Schizosaccharomyces pombe: one gene and its partners. The gene in region 1 interacts genetically with each later gene. Each region holds a gene or a part of one and is shown in the gene's direction. Other genes may lie near its edges.

The links. Genes that interact genetically often act in the same process or in processes that back each other up.
Region 2: mutations in ppr8 (region 1) and caf16 together harm fitness less than expected from each alone (positive genetic interaction), as found in Schizosaccharomyces pombe (one large-scale study listed by BioGRID).
Region 3: mutations in ppr8 (region 1) and cce1 together harm fitness more than expected from each alone (negative genetic interaction), as found in Schizosaccharomyces pombe (one large-scale study listed by BioGRID).

The regions. Positions count from the first base shown.
Region 1 is NC_003423.3:4,392,726-4,400,435, reverse strand, and holds ppr8 (PPR repeat-containing protein Ppr8), read left to right. Parts: upstream 1-4,988; 5' UTR 4,989-4,999; coding exon 5,000-5,179; intron 5,180-5,224; coding exon 5,225-6,490; 3' UTR 6,491-6,826; downstream 6,827-7,710. Other genes in the region: TIM23 translocase complex subunit Tim21, read right to left, coding at 445-1,116; uap1 (UDP-N-acetylglucosamine diphosphorylase Uap1/Qri1(predicted)), read right to left, coding at 1,669-3,096; DNA-directed RNA polymerase I and III subunit Rpc40, read left to right, coding at 3,337-4,383. UniProt on the Schizosaccharomyces pombe protein: Mitochondrial RNA-binding protein involved in mitochondrial translation. The cox1 mRNA is one target but it is not clear if ppr8 has a single or multiple targets.
Region 2 is NC_003424.3:4,810,027-4,815,531, forward strand, and holds caf16 (CCR4-Not complex subunit Caf16), read left to right. Parts: upstream 1-1,941; 5' UTR 1,942-2,072; coding exon 2,073-2,196; exon of another isoform or gene 2,197-2,275; coding exon 2,276-2,395; exon of another isoform or gene 2,396-2,440; coding exon 2,441-3,039; 3' UTR 3,040-3,153; downstream 3,154-5,505. Other genes in the region: phosphoinositide phospholipase C Plc1, read left to right, coding at 1-459; histone H2B-K119 ubiquitin ligase complex (HULC) subunit Shf1, read right to left, coding at 744-1,241; formin Fus1, read right to left, coding at 3,199-5,505.
Region 3 is NC_003424.3:4,294,584-4,299,474, reverse strand, and holds cce1 (cruciform cutting endonuclease Cce1), read left to right. Parts: upstream 1-1,569; coding exon 1,570-2,346; 3' UTR 2,347-2,539; downstream 2,540-4,891. Other genes in the region: SPOM_SPAC25G10.01 (mRNA splicing or mRNA surveillance facor), read right to left, coding at 3,206-4,099. UniProt on the Schizosaccharomyces pombe protein: Capable of resolving Holliday junctions. Specific for 4-way junctions. Seems to be important for the maintenance of mitochondrial DNA. Cleaves fixed junctions at the point of strand exchange. Cleaves after 5'-CT-3' and 5'-TT-3' sequences.

The DNA.
Region 1 (7,710 bases):
CCTACATCTTGTACTTTATATCTAATAATCAAAATTATTTCATGTGCTTTGAATCATTCTTATATTTTTTATAACTAAACACATTTAGGTAGTACATTAGATTGGCGATTAATCAGCCCCTGCGAAAAGGCCCCTCGTACAAATTCGCTTCTTTATACTAACTAATTAAACAACAAATCATGAGGTTCGATCGCTTAATTAGTAATAAAGTGTCGACGATTTTTTTATTTTTTGCAATATACATCCAAATACTGCATAACTAAGTGTGCTAATTCTGATAAAAATCATTAACATCGCCTGTAAATTAATTCGTAAATTAGAAAATTAATTCTCTGCGAAAAACCATTAATCAAACCATTAAAATCGAGAAATAATTCAATGATTTCCTTTTCGGTTGAAATTAACAGCTATACCTTTCCGTCGTGCGTTTATCATTCGGAAATTCTAATTTCCCCATGTAATATTTTTTAAGCTTCCCCATAAACCAAAATTCTTATGTTGTTGTCGTACAGAATTGGTATGATCAAAAATTATGATTTTTCCGTAATTTGCAACATCAACGAAAAGATATTCCCATTTATAGTCACCTTGAACATTTACAAGTCTTCCAAATACGTGCCCTTTTCTCTCATTACCGATTAAGTGAAATTGTAGTACTAGATGTTCTACACCATGGTGATCCCACACACGACTAGTCAATATACCATGAGTTCGACGAAGAGGATGCGTGGCTTCACCTAGGGCTTTCATGTGATCTCCAAAAACATATCGACATTCTTCATTAGCCTTTAAAAGTTCAAAAGCTTCATCACCGTAATGTGCCTCGCCCTTCCAGATACTAGTGACAAGTGCATATATAATCAATCCGAAAACGCCGCCTCCAAATATCACAATCGAAAAATTTCCAATATTAGCAGAAGTTCTGTATGCTTTTTGAGGAGCCGTCAAATCCTTCCAAGCTTTGTTAGACGGATCTTTGAAAATTCGTGCCAGGCGCCCTTCTTCTTGTGGTTTCCGTTGTTTATTGAGAGAATCAGAAGCCAAAGAGTATAATCTCCTCTGAACCAAAGCTGAAGAAAACCTTGTAGCGCTCTGCCTTTGAATAGTACGAATCATCTAGTTGATACAAAAAGATGCAAAGAAGATGTATATAGTGACGAGGCTAAACGGCATAAAGGCAATGTCTAGTGAGCTCGACATAGGATGCAATGTAGTTCGTTAAATTTTTGAGCTTTAGCAGTGATATGGTTGTTACACCTCATTATTCCGTTAGTCAGGTAATTTAGTAAAAAGCATACTAAAATTTGAGAGTATTTAGCTTGAAAAGAAAGGAGTAATAATGCAACATCATGATTAAACAACGATATATTAAAAGTCAGGGTTATTTTAAAATGAACGAAAGCGAATTAGGTGGAAGATGATTTAGAAAATTTTCAGTCACTAATAAATTCAATAAACGCACGGTCAATTAATTTATTAAATTAATATATTAACAATCGAAGTAAAACCGTAATTGAAATCCTGAATGTTGATTTGCTGATTAAGAACAGCAATTAGTGCTTCGACGATTATTGTACAATATAAAATGAAAGTAAATAAATTTATCACATTGACTTTGTTACATTGTTTATATAAACCTTTAAAAATAGTTGAATATAGGAGAGGAAACTAGTAAAGTTTACAATTGCTAACCTGCTTCCCTTTAATCCACTCGAGTGATTCTCCTTGTAAACTACATTCTGGGGAAACATAGGTGCAGTCGCTTGGACTTAAGATACCACCATTCTTTAAAATCCAGCTTTTACCTAAACTCAAAATATCGTTTACACAAGTTTCATGGTTGTCATTGGGAGATTTACTTGAATTTTTTAGAGGACTAAATGAAGTCCTACGTGGTACCTGGAAACATCCAAAATTTTCAACTGACACACTGGGAAACAAATCGAAAATAAAACTCTCAAGTTTATATCCATTGGGATTTAAAGGTGTAGTATAATGATGAGACGTTACGTCGTAAAATGGAATTTTCTTGCATGCAAGGTGAATAGGAAGGGTACTTGAGTGCAAAGAAGCTTTCTGTAAGAAATCAAAAGAGAAATAATGGTATGCAATGTTAGCCGCACGAAGCAGCAAATGCTTGTGACCATCAACATTTTCTGTAGCTTTGCATGCTTCGTCAGAAATTTCAGAGTACTCTACAACACAAGGATGATTATGGGAAGATACAAGGAGACCCACTTTTTCAGCAGGATCGATTTTTTCAACAGTTTTAGTGGCAACCTCAAGTTTTTTAGTAGTAGCCATTCCTATGAATACAGGATCAACCGGCAAAACAAGAACATTGTCAACGCTATAAGCCGTAATATGGAGTATACCTCTTCTATTCATATCATTCAATGCACCAGAGGAAAGCAAAGCTTCATAAATACCTCCATTGCCGTTAGGAGCCCAAGCTAATGAAGAATCAGATTCAAAAAGGACCCTACCTGAGATATCTAGACAAGGTAAAACTCCTTGCTGGAAGAAAAAAACGTCTTTCTTATCAATACCAAAGAAATCATTCTCCTTAAAAAAAGAAATTGTCTCCTCTGACGTACATTCAGAAACCATTATATACCATGGAATGCTTATAGAGGCTTCTTGATCGGGAAATGCGGCTCTGGCGAGCGCCAACGATTTCTTAATTTTTTGTGCCTGCAGCTCAAAGATGCTCGGATTATTAGGCAGCCCAAGTCTAAAGCAACCTTTTGGACCAGCAAACCCAAGTCGAGTGCCTTGACCTCCTGCCAATACTAAGGCAGCTACATGACCTCTAGCAATTTCCCGAAGACCTGTTCTCCACCAACTTGAGTCAGACGTATCTACAATAGATAGTGGACCAACTTCTGAAGGGGACAATTTTCTGTTCTCTTGGCTTGTCGCTTTAGCATTTCGATACTTCAACCACAATGACCGTAAGTCCAATTGCTGAACTTGATTTAAAAGTTTCCTAAACTTTTGCAGGTCATTCTTTTTTAAATAATTCAATTGATCATACAAATGTAACTGATTAGTTTCTTCAAATATAGACCGATCAAACAATTCTTTGTCGTCCATTTCGTATTTAGCGTTATAAATACAGTCTAAAAAAAAAAAATGAATGTTTGGCAAACTTGAATCGCTAAAAAAATGCTATTTACGCTTCTTCAAGTGCTCTACTACTATTGTCAGTTAATTTGCAATGTCTTACTTTTATTCGCACTATCGTGTTTACCACACAATAGCGAATTTTTACGCATATAAAGGTTTTAAAAGTTTATATTGCAACTTCTCACCGTTTTTTTCATAAAATTAAAAATGGCAGCGGTTGACAGATCAAGGACAGAAATCTCTGTCCTTTCTGATCGTGTTACAGATGTAGGAAGTGTAGATTTTCCAGGTTATTATTTTGATGAAGACAACATCTGGGATCTTGATAAATTTAAAAAAAATTTAAAAGTTTCGATTACGTCTCTCGATCAAGAAACAATGGTATTTGAAATTTCTGGAATTGATGCATCCATTGCAAATGCATTTAGGAGGATTTTAATCGCCGAGATCCCAACTCTTGCATTTGAGTTCGTGTATATCATAAACAATACGAGCATAATACAAGATGAGGTTTTGTCTCACAGAATAGGTCTTGTACCTATATCTGCTGATCCTGACATGTTTAAATGGTTTCAACATCCTCTGCCAGGACAAGAGGCAACTCATACTGATTACGATACTGTTGTCTTTTCCCTTAATAAGAAATGCGAGTTTAATAAGAATGCCGCTACAGATGAAAAAGATCCAAAGAGACTTTACGTTAACTCTGAGGTTTATTCGGGTGATCTAATTTGGAAACCGCAAGGTCGACAGGAAGAGCGATTTGCTGACAATCCTATACGAGTAGTCAACCCAGATATTGTTGTTGCAAAATTGCGTCCTGGCCAGGAAATCGATTTAGAAGCTCATGCAATCTTAGGTATTGGACAAGACCATGCTAAGTTTTCTCCTGTTGCTACTGCCTCCTACCGCTTATTGCCTACTATACATATCTTGTCTCCTATTGAAGGTGAAGATGCAGTTAAATTTCAAAAATGCTTCCCTAAAGGAGTCATCGAGCTTGAAGAAGGACCTGATGGTAAAAAACAAGCCCGTGTAGCAGACGTTCGAAAAGACACCGTATCCCGCGAATGCTTGAGACATCCCGAATTTGCAGATAAGGTGCAATTAGGCCGCGTACGCGATCATTATTTGTTTTCTGTTGAAAGCACCGGTATTATGAAGCCCGATGTCTTGTTCATTAAAAGCATTGCAGTCCTAAAATCGAAATGTCTAGCCGTAAAGTCTAGTCTTCAGAATATTTCTTCTGACTGAATGTCTGTTAAATTAGTTTTATATGTAATCTTTTGGATAATTGGGTACGCTGTTAAAAAATATACTTTTGAAAGTTATTGATTTCTATATTTCAATATTAACATTTTGTCCTTTCTTTAATTTTAAATTTAATTCATCATAGACATGTATTTTGTTGATAACCAGTAGACCTTTTAAAAAGAAGTGTTGGTTTTCAATCACTACTTGCCATCCTTTGAAAGTCCTTATAAAATGCTTTGAGAATTTATATGAAAGCGACGCCTTTAATTGATGCAACTGAAAAAATTACTTTTCATTATATTTTTACAGGGATTTTGAAGTCCTATCTATTAAATTACCTAAATTAAACTAGACTGATTGTATAAATTTTAAAAATATTGTAAATGCCGGTTTTAACTAATTTGCAAAGAATGTGCCTAAGCATGCAGCAGAGTCTTAGTTAAGTTGCTTTGTTACTACATGATTGAACTATTATAGGAAAAGAAAAATAAAATAGAATCAGTTCTAACATATTCAGGAAACGCCATTTTGCTGATCTTTTCTAGATCAATCCTGACTGAGTAGAGAGTAGCCACAACATGACTCAGCAACAACAAACTTACCCCAAGCGTATACCATGCAAGGATTTGGGAGCCAAATTTTTCGGAAATTGCTGCGTAGTAGTAATGCTAAAGTGTCAGATGCACTTTTACAAAATACGCGTACCCTTTTCACCGCTCCGCCTTTACATTCTGGGTTACAAACTTCATTCACCGCTGAAACTCAACAACATGTAAGGCAGAATTCTCAAAATTTGGTATGTAAAGGCTGATGTTTCCACCTTTTTCTAACAGGTAAATAGCTGAAACAATTAAATGATGAAATGAAGGCGCGCAAGTATACGGAAACCGTTGCTACTTTCAGCAGCCTGAAACCATTTGGCATTTTAGATAGTCAAACCATTAATAGATACATTTTGTTTTTGGTAGATCGGATTAAAATGCTCAATGGGAGAGGTAATGTAGATGAAGCTACTCTCGACAAACTTGATGATATACTTCGATATGCAATTGAACACCAAGAGATTGCCTCTGCTAGGTTTTGGCGAATTATGCTCCAATCATATATCGACCTAAACCTTTTTGACAAGGCTTCATTAATTGCTGATATGAGCTTAAGCCATATGGAGTTTTTACCTAAAGATGAACGAGTTTTAGGCAACCTCTACATCTCAGCACTTCAAGCTAAGATACTTGGAGGTGCCAGTTTTGAACAGTGTGGAAAAATAGGTTCAGCCATTCACGAGCAACTTGAAGGGAAAGAAGTTGTAAATGAATTGGTTGCTGTGTATTTGATTTATACTGTTTTCAAAGATCAAGGTATTAGCAGTAAAGCTCATAAAGCTTTAGTTCAATTTAACGGACTAACAAGTTTTCACTCCGATGTCATTATTTCAGTGTTTGTCAACAAAGGTCTCGTCGATCAAGCTGCTGCTTATCTGAAAAATTCTAATCTTAACGAAAGAAATCTACCAACGATCTATACAACCGTTTGGTTACTTCAAAGACTTTTTGAAGCACACCATTCTCTAGATCCTTTGCTAACTATTTTCGATTATTATCTTTCAGTGTCACCCAAAGATATCACTCGTTTGACAAATGCTATTTTAAGTCTTTCAATGAAGCAATTTGAACGAGATCGGGATATTAAAAAGGCTACCGACTTTATCACTACGTTTATCAACAAGATGTCAGATGTAAAGGAGTTCAAACCATCCATTAGTACTGCCAACACCTTGTTCTCTATTGCTAGTCGTTTAAAGGATGTAAAATGGCTTTCTGCTGGATTTGATATGATAGACAAGTACGGGTTAAAGCCTACTCATGTCACTTATCGGTCATTATTGAAAGCATACTGTTTATTGCCAAGCACATGTGAGCAAATTTCGCAGGCTTGGGTAAATCTTGAGTATCGTCTTGAAGCTATTTCCATTTCTGTTGCAGATAAAGAAATAAATCTCCTAAAGGACTGCATTCTATCTCAACCTGACAGAGATGATCAACAAAGTTGCCTGCAATTTCTGAATATGGTGCTATCAAAATACGGTAAACATATACGTTCGCCATAAATTTTTTTGCACTTTGGATAATCTCATATAGTTCTTCCTTTTAACGAGATTACGATTAAATGTGTACATCACAGCCATATTACCTGCATGCATTAAAGTTCAAAAGTGTTCACTCCCATCTTTTAATATGTCCCACACTTTCACAAATTGAGTTATTTATTTTATTTAGGAACGTTTCGGTGGTGATTTTTGATTTTCGTTTTATGAAGTTACCTGGATGGGTTTAATTGTTTACCTCTTTGATATTTGTTAATTTTCCTTAACGTACATACTCCTTTCTGTTTTTTGCTATAGCCATCTTTTATATTAAATATATATTTTTTTATTCCAGATACAGGTTTTGTGTTCGTCTTAATAGTTTAGCATCTAAAAACACCTGTTTATTCTCAAGAGATATGGATAGTTTGAAATACTTAGAAGCTTTGCCTGGTTTATGACAAGTACGAAAAGTAAGGGATTTAAACCGCGCTAAGTTATGCTGTTAAAGACAGCTTTAAACGAATATTAGAGGATATTTTTCCCGGTATTTGTAGGTATGTCTTGCTAGTGGAAAATTTGTAAGTTAAATTATTATCACTATATTTTAATGCTTTATATGCACTCAAACAGCTGGGGTCGGTGTATGTCATTGTATTAATGTGAGACCAAAGTGCTTTATTGTACTCTATGAATCACAAATTTTGCTTTACATTAAAGTATTAGTTTAAATTTTAACTGCTTATCTCGCAAAAAATACGCTGCCTAGAAAATATACTAAGTTTAAAATAGTAATTCATTTAGGTATGGTGGTTGTTAAAAAGAGCATATAAATAGAAAAATTTGATGTTTTGAAAGTAATGTCTATAAAACATAAATGAGTTATGTTTAGCAATGCTTATATTTGCAAGGATGCTGTATACGCCGTAACAGCATTATTAGATGCACTTGTTAAATTCAGTGCTGCTCGAACGTACTATCATGTAATATTGTAAGATTCAAATGGTTTCTGCTATCTGTTTACTTACAGTTCTTGATCATATGCCTAAAAATGTAAAACAATACCGAATTTACTTATTAAGTTCCAGTTCACCTGAGCAAACAACGGCGCGTTGCCCAACAATTATAACCGAGGATAGTAAGAATCTGATTTTATTATATAGTATCCAAATTTAGGAGCAAACATTATTTCAATCAAAACATCGCATCTTACCATATCGTTAGCGAGTTTAAGAAGATACGGA
Region 2 (5,505 bases), on another chromosome or scaffold:
AAGCCACCTTGTCAACGAATAATTGGTACAACAGTTGGCGAAGAAGGACTTCCTCGTAAAATAAAATTAACAATAGATGTCATATCTGGGCAACAACTTAGAAGAGCTAGAGAACTTTCTAATTCTGAAACTCTCAGCCCTTATGTTGAGATCCAAGTTCATTCAATGGAAGAATCTCCTTTTCGTTGGTGTTCCAAAGTTGTGCACGAAAATGGATTTCGACCTTTTTGGGGAGAAACCATGGTTTATGAGAGTATAATTAGTGATGACTTTTATTCCATGATCCGATTTCTCGTCCATCATCGAGGAAGTAATGGAAATGACTCTATATTTGCTAATTTTACTTGTCCGATTGACAGACTGCAACAAGGCTATAGACATATTCGTTTATTGGATATGCAAGGCGAAAATTTGTTATTTTCGAGTTTGTTTTTGAAAATTAAAAAAGAAGACATTTAGAACGCTGTGTCCATTACAGCACTTTCACCGTAATGAAACTTCAGAAAATCTAAAATGCATATTATACGTTAAAAGGGAGAGAACCGAAGTAGTCTGAGAATGTTTAGAGTGTATGAAGCGTTTTTTTATTTTTATTTTTTTTTTTTAAAAAAAAAAACGCTATACAAAAACATTCATGTTTATAAATATGGGTTTGGGATAAAACTTTCAATAAAAAGTCATAATAATATCCACAAAGCGGAAGCTCAATGATTTGTACGCAGACGATGATTGCAATAATTTATTTAGAAGCTGACATTATTTACAAAATCGTTTAAGCTTTTTACAGCTGCATCACTACGTAGACCTTCTCGGTATATATCCGTTCTAATTTTTTCCCAAAAATGTACTTGTTGAGCGTATTGTTGTTCGACATTCAATAAACTCTGGGATGAATTCTCGCACGCAGACTTGCAGCTTTGAAGTTTACTTGACAAACTCGAGTCTGGAAGATTAATCTTCGGCAATTCTACATTCGTATCCGTAGAAGCTGCCCCAAAAGACGCTCTTGTTGAATTATTGCTAGGGACTCTATAATGATAGGGAGAATTGTGTTCCTTGGAATTTGTAGATGAAGAGGGTGAATCATAACTAGATCTGGGTGTTTTTGTTCTTTGATGGTAGGATTGTCGGCTCCTATAACTAGATTCATAAAAACTGTTTTGATCAACGTTTGATTTCAAAGGACTACGATACTGGTGGTCGTTTCCATCATAGTGGTAGTCATTTCTTCTGCTGCTCATTAAAGTGAATAATTAAGTGCTGATATTAATGGTTCTTTTTTTTCACGAAAAATGTACACTATCTAATTAAAACAATTGGTTAAAGAACCGAAAAATAGTAATACTTAATTCAATTAAAATCACGGTGTGAGAAAACGGTTTGAGGTAAGACTATTTTACGTACCGCGTTATATAAAGCCCTTCGCCCATATCGATGTTTGTTTGTTGTTTAATATATTAAGTCTAATGATATGGGCAATACTACGTTGAAAAGCTAAAATCGTTTAGCAGGAATGAAATAATATTATATTTATATTTTTTTATTTGAGAAATGTCCGCCTGCTGTTAAAAAATTCCATGCGAATGTTAGGTTTGTCTGTTGTCTTAAACGAAATGGGGTGACCTTAGGAAAGTATTATTACTTAGTTTTAAGCCAAATAATATGTAGCATAAATTGTAGTTGATTACAAATGTTATCTGCTTCTATCTCCTATATATATTGTTTGCCAATTGTTCCATCGATGTTAATCATTTTTCTTTCCAAGACTCCGCAGGATGTGTGTTCAAGGTCTTAATAGCATCTCCAAATATGGGCAGCATTACTTAATAGTTAAAAAAGGTTCTTTACAAAGACTTGGAAAGCTAATTTATTAGTACGAGGTCTTGCTTATAACAACTTTACTGCATTCCCTCCACACTTTACTTGATACACAGATGTACTAAACACAATCCAGCTAACCCACAAAGTTTGAGTGTTATTTAATTTGCGCCTTTTTTTGGATCCTTTATATATTGTAAAACTAAGTTCTTAGATAATTATATTTTACTACTGTTAAAACATTCTATTTCAAAATGGAAGTAACTGTTTCAAACCTCTCTTACACGTTTTCTCCAAAGCAGCCTTTAAGTCTTGATCACGTAACTTTAGATCTTCCTAAAGGATCAAGGACTTTACTTGTTGGAGCCAATGGAGCTGGTAAGTTTCGCGGTGTTATGGAAATTGATGAAGAATATTTAAATGCTAACTGATGTCCTCTTGGAATTTTGTTAAACAGGAAAATCAACTTTACTTAAACTTTTATCTGGAAAATCGCTTGCGAAAGCAGGACATATATCGGTGGGTGGTAAAGATCCTTTTCGTGAGTCTAGTTCTGCATTTGTTTATTTAGGAACTGGTAAGTTCTTTTAACATCAAATTTTACTGATGTGTGCGTTTGTAGAATGGGTTAACAACCCTGTTATACATAGGGATATGAGTGTTGCACGATTAATTGCTTCTGTTGGAGGAGATAAATTTGCCGAACGTAGGGATTTCTTGATTTCAATTCTTGATATAGATCTTCGTTGGCGAATGCATGCAGTGTCCGATGGTGAAAGACGACGTGTTCAACTATGTATGGGACTTCTGCGTCCATTTGAAGTACTTTTACTTGATGAAGTAACTGTAGATTTGGATGTTCTTGCCCGGGCAGATTTGTTAAATTTTTTGCAAGAGGAAACGGAAGTAAGGAATGCTACTATTGTTTATGCAACACATATATTTGATGGTTTAGCTGAGTGGCCAACTCACTTGGTCCATCTCAGTCTTGGGCGTATCGTGGATTATGGACCAATATCCAAGTTTGGTGCTCTGATGACAAGGTCCTCTACGGGAAATAGCGCCCTTCTAGAGACATGTTTGGAATGGCTCAAAGAAGACAAAAAAAATAGGGGAACTCGAGAAGAGGAAAAGCGTAGTACCTGGGACGACGTTCAAGAATCATTAAAAGTTGGAACTGATGTATTTACTGATTACTTTAAGATTTCCCGAGCAAAATAGATTACTAGAAAAGTTATCCTTTAGATGCTTAATTCTATCTTTAACAAGCATTACAGTCTTACTAGAATTAATAATTATACCTTTTATTAATTATAATTTCATTATAATTTGTTTAAGTCATTTAATTGTCATTAAAAGTCATTAACATTTCAAACATCATTATCTCTTAAGTTCATTGTTATTCTCCAGCTGCTTAAGCATGCATTCAGCTTTAAGGACGACTGTTTGTCTCTTTTTATTTGAGCCTTCTAGAGTTTGTTTATCATTTTCATAATTCATTAGAGTTTCGATTGTTTGTTTCGATGATTCAGTGCAATCGGTTTTGTTGCTTAAAGAATCATCACACAAACCTTTCTGTAGCTGAGATATTAAATTTTCCATTGTTGCTGAAACTTCCTCATTCTTTGAAGAACCACTATTTTCTGCATTATTGCTTTTAACAGATGCTTTTAAAGCTTGTAGTCTTAGAAAAGCAAGTTCTTCTTCCTTCTCCATCTTCTGATTTACAGTGCTAGCCTTTTTGTACTCCAGTATTATTTCGTTTAAATTATTGAAAAACCTAGCACTCGATGTAGGTTCATCTGGATTTTCACCATACATTAAGAGAGTTGTTTTAAGGGTTGTTTTTAGTTCAGTAATATCAGAATTAAGTTCATCCACCATTGATTTTCCTGATGGAATCCATGGAACCATGACTTCACAGATATGGTCATCAGGATGAAGAGCTTTATGATTCGAAAAAATGCCTTCATTGCTAAAGTCCTTTTCAACATTTTTCATCCGTTCACAAATATCATTACAATCCTGCTCCAACTGCTCCAAATTAAATCTGGAAATCTCGGGAATGGCTTTCAAATCCACGAGAAAAGCTTCCAATTGTGGAAAGTGAGTCCGAACTATTTTTTCAATAGTATGAAGAAGTGTTAATCCTGTTTTGTCATTTTTAATCATGGAAGCTCTTAGTAAACTTTCCAATCGATACCCTTTAGCTCGACGGGGTGCATCATTCATAAAATTGCCAATATGAAGGACCAAATTTAAAAAATACTTGAAATGCAAACTAGATTTCAACTCTAAAGAAGCACAATGAAGTTTCCTTATTTGTCTTCTAAAATCCCTAAAGTTGTTGGCCAGAAACGATTTGATTTTTAAAGCTGCCATTCTTTTTTCGTAATAAGTATCAATGTCAACAACAATTAACGTATAAATTTGATCGAAACGAGACAATTCTAAAAGCTTTTCACTTACTTCCATTACCTCTTCGTTTCGAGATGACATATAAGGCTTTAGTTGCTTTTTAAGACCTTCTTGTCGAAAAAACTTTCGGTCATTAAAAAAATCGACTAGTTCCATGATATCATGGTCGCAATGAAAAAATTTTTTGGCAATTTCAATTGGTGTCAAGGAATTGAATCTATGCAAACGAATACTAACCATTTGCTGTAAATCAACTGGCATAAATCCGGTATATTCCTTAACTTTTTTATTGGAAACTGTTACTTCTCTCAATGGATAACAATCTTCGAGTTGCTTAAAAATCCCTTCCGCAGTAAGTTTTAAAGTTAATAAATAAGGATCTGCAACTACAATATTCCATAGAGTTTTTTCGAAAGGAACTTCGAGGCGTTTCCAATGAAGCTGCTTTAGCCGTTTAGAAGGATTGCATAGCTCACCAGGAATTTTGCTTGCATACACTTCAGACTCTGAACCTGAACAGAATTTAAATATGTCATCGATTGAAATATTTTCGGGAATAATTATCGTCTTCCGAAAAATTTGTGAATCATTTTTTTCAAATTTCTGGAGAGAAGACATTGCAGTTGGTAAAGGAGGTGCAGGAGGTGGTAATGGTGCAGGAGGTGGAGCTTTGAATGGATTCCCATCAATAACTTCTTTGATTCTCATATTTTCTATTTTAGAAAACCTCTTGGTATCAGTTATGGAAAATCGGCCATAGTACGACTTTCGATAGTCTAAGGGAAGATCACTAACAACATCAATCCTTTTTGGATTAAAAACCTTGTGTTTTGAAGTTTCCATTTTTTCTGCTAAGTTAGCACTTTTTATTTGTGTTCCTGGCATACTCAGATGAACCTCAAAAGAATGCGTTGAAACAGCGGAAGATGGCTCGGATTTTAAAGTGATTGAGTTTGCTTTAGCTAGATCTAATTTGCAAAGTTTTAATTTTTCATCCTGATTTGGTTGAAAAAGCAGTTTAGGTTTTATCCTTGGTGAAGCAAAAGCACTAACGCTAGAGGTAGTGTTCACGGGTTGAACCCAATCTCTGTTTCCATTTCCATTCACATTGTTTTTAGAAATTAAATACTCTTGGTCACGATCTTGCAGTTTACTACTTGATCGGTTCAATAATCGAAGAATTTTGGTATCTTCGGAAATGTATGAATCGCGCGTACGCGTCAGTAAGTGCTTTAGTTTACTAAAAATTTTTTCGGCTGAAAAGGAAGA
Region 3 (4,891 bases), on another chromosome or scaffold:
GAAAATTCTAAAGCCATTAGAATATTCGCTCATTTTATATATCAATGGCCCAGTTGTAATAGTCAGTCGAATAGTTAATTGAATAAACTACTTTAGATCTACATGCGCAATAAGTTTTAAGTTTGGGGTTTTTACTGAACATTTTTCATCCCCAACAACGGTTCATATATTGAAACAATAGTGCGTCAGACAATTCGCAATTTTTTTTTTCTAAAAACAGTATATTCTCTACTTTTCAGTCAGTTAATATATTCCGGAACAAAGTCATATTCTTCTTAAAACTTATTCATACTAGTGCTGCTTGTGTAAAAAAAGAATCAAATACAAAACATGTTACTTGACAGATCCTCTATAATAGAATATGGAAACGAAATAGAAATGAGAATGATTGAAGTTCAAGCTTAAAGTCAGTAATAGATTTGCTTTTTGCATAAGAAAAAAATCAGTGGAAAACGCTTTGAAATCCTTAAAGCATTTTTTGTATTTGCGTAAGACATTGTCTGCTATATGCTTTCAGAGGAGTTTTAGAAATCCAATAGCAGAAATTCATCATTAATGTTAAAGGTAGCTGAATACAAATTAAACAGCGTTAAAATCAAAATCCGATAAACCTTCACGTTCATTCCGTGGTTACATTTGTAGTTCATTTTTGTCAACCATCGCCGTTCTATATACTTGCTAACTATAGTACAATGTGTGCCATCAAAACTTTGAAAATTTAATCCTAATAGTTTAAAACAAATGTTACAGTTTAAGTATTTCAATGTCCAAGACTTCAAATATGGAGTTTTACCTAACTTGCATAGAAACTCGGTATTATAATAAAAGACAATGACGGATTCGGGGTATTAAATGAAGACTTCAGCTGTATAAAAGCTTTTCTGTTATATATCTTAAATTTTGTGGATTCCAAATTAGCTTTCAAATACAAACTGTGCCATTTTACACAACCTCGATCATTCATAAAACAATAATAAACTTGCTCACTTACAAACAAGTCTTAAGAATTGATTTAAGTCAATGTCTGATTGCAAACATATTAACAATCTGTGATAAATTTCTTTTGCCATGTATTTCTAACTTTAGGTTGATGAGTTCAAACCTCCTATGAATCGACGTATATCGTTGTTGATATTTCACATAAACTTGGACTCGCCAATCTTTGTTCATATTTTAATGCTTATTTATTCAGATAATTCCCAGGTGACTAGCAGTTTGAACTAAGCAAGACGTTGTCAACGACTTCAAACATCGCAAGCTTATGGAATAAAAGAAAAAAAATTACATGTTTCTACTCGTAAGTGAAATAAAAATTCCCGGACTCCCATTTACCAATCCTTCGTTTTTTGTATTACCATATACTATCTTTCACGTTTGCATCTAGCATCTAAAACTGTTCACTTCTAAAAACAATTCATTTTAAGAGAAATAATCATTTTTTCTTATTTGAATAAACTCAATTCTTACTGCCTCGTTTCCTTGTTTTTGCAAAAAAAAAAAACATAATCATTGCTATAGGTTTACAACTTCATATCCGTTTCTTTATGTCAATTTATTCTTTTTTACAGAATGGCTACTGTGAAACTTAGTTTTTTACAGCACATCTGTAAGTTAACTGGATTGTCAAGAAGTGGAAGAAAGGATGAGTTGCTTCGAAGAATTGTTGACTCTCCTATTTATCCCACCTCTCGGGTACTTGGTATTGACTTGGGAATCAAAAATTTCTCTTACTGCTTTGCAAGTCAAAATGAAGATTCTAAAGTTATTATCCACAATTGGTCTGTTGAAAATCTAACTGAAAAAAATGGGCTTGATATACAATGGACCGAAGACTTCCAGCCTAGCTCCATGGCTGATCTTTCAATACAACTGTTTAATACATTACACGAAAAATTCAATCCGCATGTCATTCTTATGGAACGCCAGCGTTATCGTTCCGGTATTGCTACGATTCCAGAGTGGACGCTACGAGTAAATATGCTTGAAAGCATGCTGTATGCGTTACACTACGCAGAAAAAAGAAATTCAATCGAACAGAAAATACAATATCCTTTCCTTCTTTCTCTGTCCCCAAAATCTACATACTCGTATTGGGCATCAGTTTTGAATACGAAAGCATCTTTTTCAAAGAAGAAGAGTAGAGTACAAATGGTCAAGGAATTAATAGATGGTCAAAAAATCCTATTTGAAAATGAAGAAGCTCTGTATAAATGGAACAACGGTTCTAGGGTTGAATTTAAAAAGGACGATATGGCAGATTCTGCTTTGATTGCAAGCGGTTGGATGAGATGGCAAGCCCAACTGAAGCATTATAGAAACTTTTGCAAACAGTTTCTGAAACAATAGAAATGAACGATTGCCGTACGAATGTTTAGCCAATTTGTATATTGTAGTTTTATTCAAAGAAAAACTATCGTATATTGCATTTCATGATCCTATAAAAAAGGAAGAAATTAAACTAAATTCATAAAATTAATAATGATAACAAAAGGAATGCAGGCACATGTATCAAAGATCTTCTTTGAGCATTATTCTAAACTTCAACGATGAAAAATAACAAAACATAAAGAACATGAAATGAATTTTTTAAAAAAAATAAGAATGATGACAAACAAAAAAAGGTAATAAGGCCTTAAAAATAGCAACCCGACCTTGCTCATTTCAAAAACCCAAGTTTATATCCTCTATATTTCATGCATACAAAAGCACCAATAACAGCACCGAAAAATGAAATTTTTTATAATAAATTTGTATGAAACGGCTTTGAAGACGTAAAGAAAAAAGTAGAACTTGCAGTGAAGCCACAAAAGTCATAAGAGGACCATGATAGCGTCTGAGATCCTTTAAAAAAAACATAAAAAAACGCAACTCGTGATTGTTTAGTTCCCCAACAGAGTAAACCCTGGATAACACGCATTTACACAAGATTTAATCCCTAAAGTAAAGAAAGACGAGAAAAAATTAGTAGTATAAACACGTGGAAAACACACACACCTTTTGGAAATTGGTACATGATAGCTTTCAGGGAAAATTTAATATAATAAGCAATAGACCGTTTATACAAGGAAGAAAAGTAAACGAACCTAAGGTATAACGAATCATAAACTGTTAACTATAAAAGGTTTTCATTAAATGAAAGTAAGCAAAGGAAACTCAAAAAGAGTAGCGATATATGATAAAAAGGTTATATTAAGCAAATTGTTAATTATTGATCTTCGTTTGGAGGCACCGAAGAGTGTGAAGGTAAGGCTTCATTACCTGGGGTATCATTGCGCATGTTAGGAACAGAATGATGCTCTGCATGAGCAAAGGACCTTCCATGGAAATGTCGCTCTCTTCTCGGTCTTGAATCAACGTTGTATCTTTCTTTGCGGTAATTTCCGGGAGAATGTTCTCGTTGAGGCCTAGATGGACGATAAGAGTTTCGATATCTATTAGAATCGCGGTCACGATAATTATTTCTACGATATCCCCCATCTTTATTGTTGCTTGGAAAATCCCTGGAATTTCTTCTTCTATCATAGCCCATATATTTTCCTGGAGTTGGAGAATGAGGGCGAGATCGCTTGGCTTTCTGAACGTTAAGTACTCGTCCGTAAAATTCCTGAGAGTTCAAATTGTCAATAGCTGAGGTTGCTTCCTCAACAGTTGAAAATGATAAGAACCCAAAACCCCTTGAAGCTTTTGTAACTGGTTCTCTCATGATTCTCACATGAGTAACAGTACCAAACTTGGAGAAGATTTGCTGAAGCTCGTCCTCTTGCATTCTGGAAGCAATTCCACTAACAAATAAATCATTGCCTAGATTTTCGGATCCTTCAGGAGCGCTTTGCGGCTCTTTCTTATCGAGAGCAGTAGATTCATTGTTCGGGTCGACTTCATCTTCGTTCATCGACTGCAAAGGTTCCCCCGCAGTGTCAAGCTGGTGTACATTCATAGCAATAGACCCTGCGTCAGAGTCTGTCTCCCCAGCATCTTTCTCAATCTCAAGTTGGTGTATATCCTGAGAAGTTTCCGTTTCTAAAACTGCCGAACCAGCTACGTCGGCGTTTGGGATTTCAAATGATTCCTCAGATGTCGCGGGAGGTAGAGTATCCATTTCTCAAATAAAGTATATGATGAATAAAGGGAAATTTTAAAATTGCCTTGGCTGCTAAAGAGGCTTACAAATGCAGCAATTGGGGTTCAATCAGATAAAATGGGTGAATGACCAAGAAAGCAACAAGAAGAATACCAAATGTTTATCAAAGTTTCCGAACCTAATTCAAAACAAGCGAAATCAATTGTAAATCAAAATTCCTGCAATTAATGAATGGGGAAGTATATGTGTCGCGTCTCTGCAACGACCTTAAGATTCCGACTAACCTAGCGTAATTTAAGCTATAGGTCGTAGCGAAGTATAGTGGGGTGCACCGCATAAGTTGACAAGAAGTAAATAGTAGTCAGTAAGAGAGTTTTTTTTCAATCCAAAGTGTATATATTATGATAGTATAAATTAAAATGTAAGAAAGAACCCCCCCATAATTCAACAATACTCGATAAAAATTATAAATTGATTTAAACAGCATCGTGGGGGAATTCAATTTCACCCGACAGATTGCCATATTGACTTTTGGGGAAAACGCAATTTCTAAACGCTATAGAAAATCACTTCACTGGATTAGAGAAGTTTACATTCAACAATAATTTTATATTCTTATCTTTGCAAGCTATATCACCAATACAGTGTAGGTATATCTTAATACTATTCAGGTTTATATATGGTAACTTCACTCCATTTCGCTAAGCCGATAAAGTCAGGGAGAGGCAGTAAAAAGGTAACGTGGTATAAAAATACTTTTTGCTTAATTTTTATAATGTTCGTTTTTGTTCCAAGGGTTATTTTTAAGCT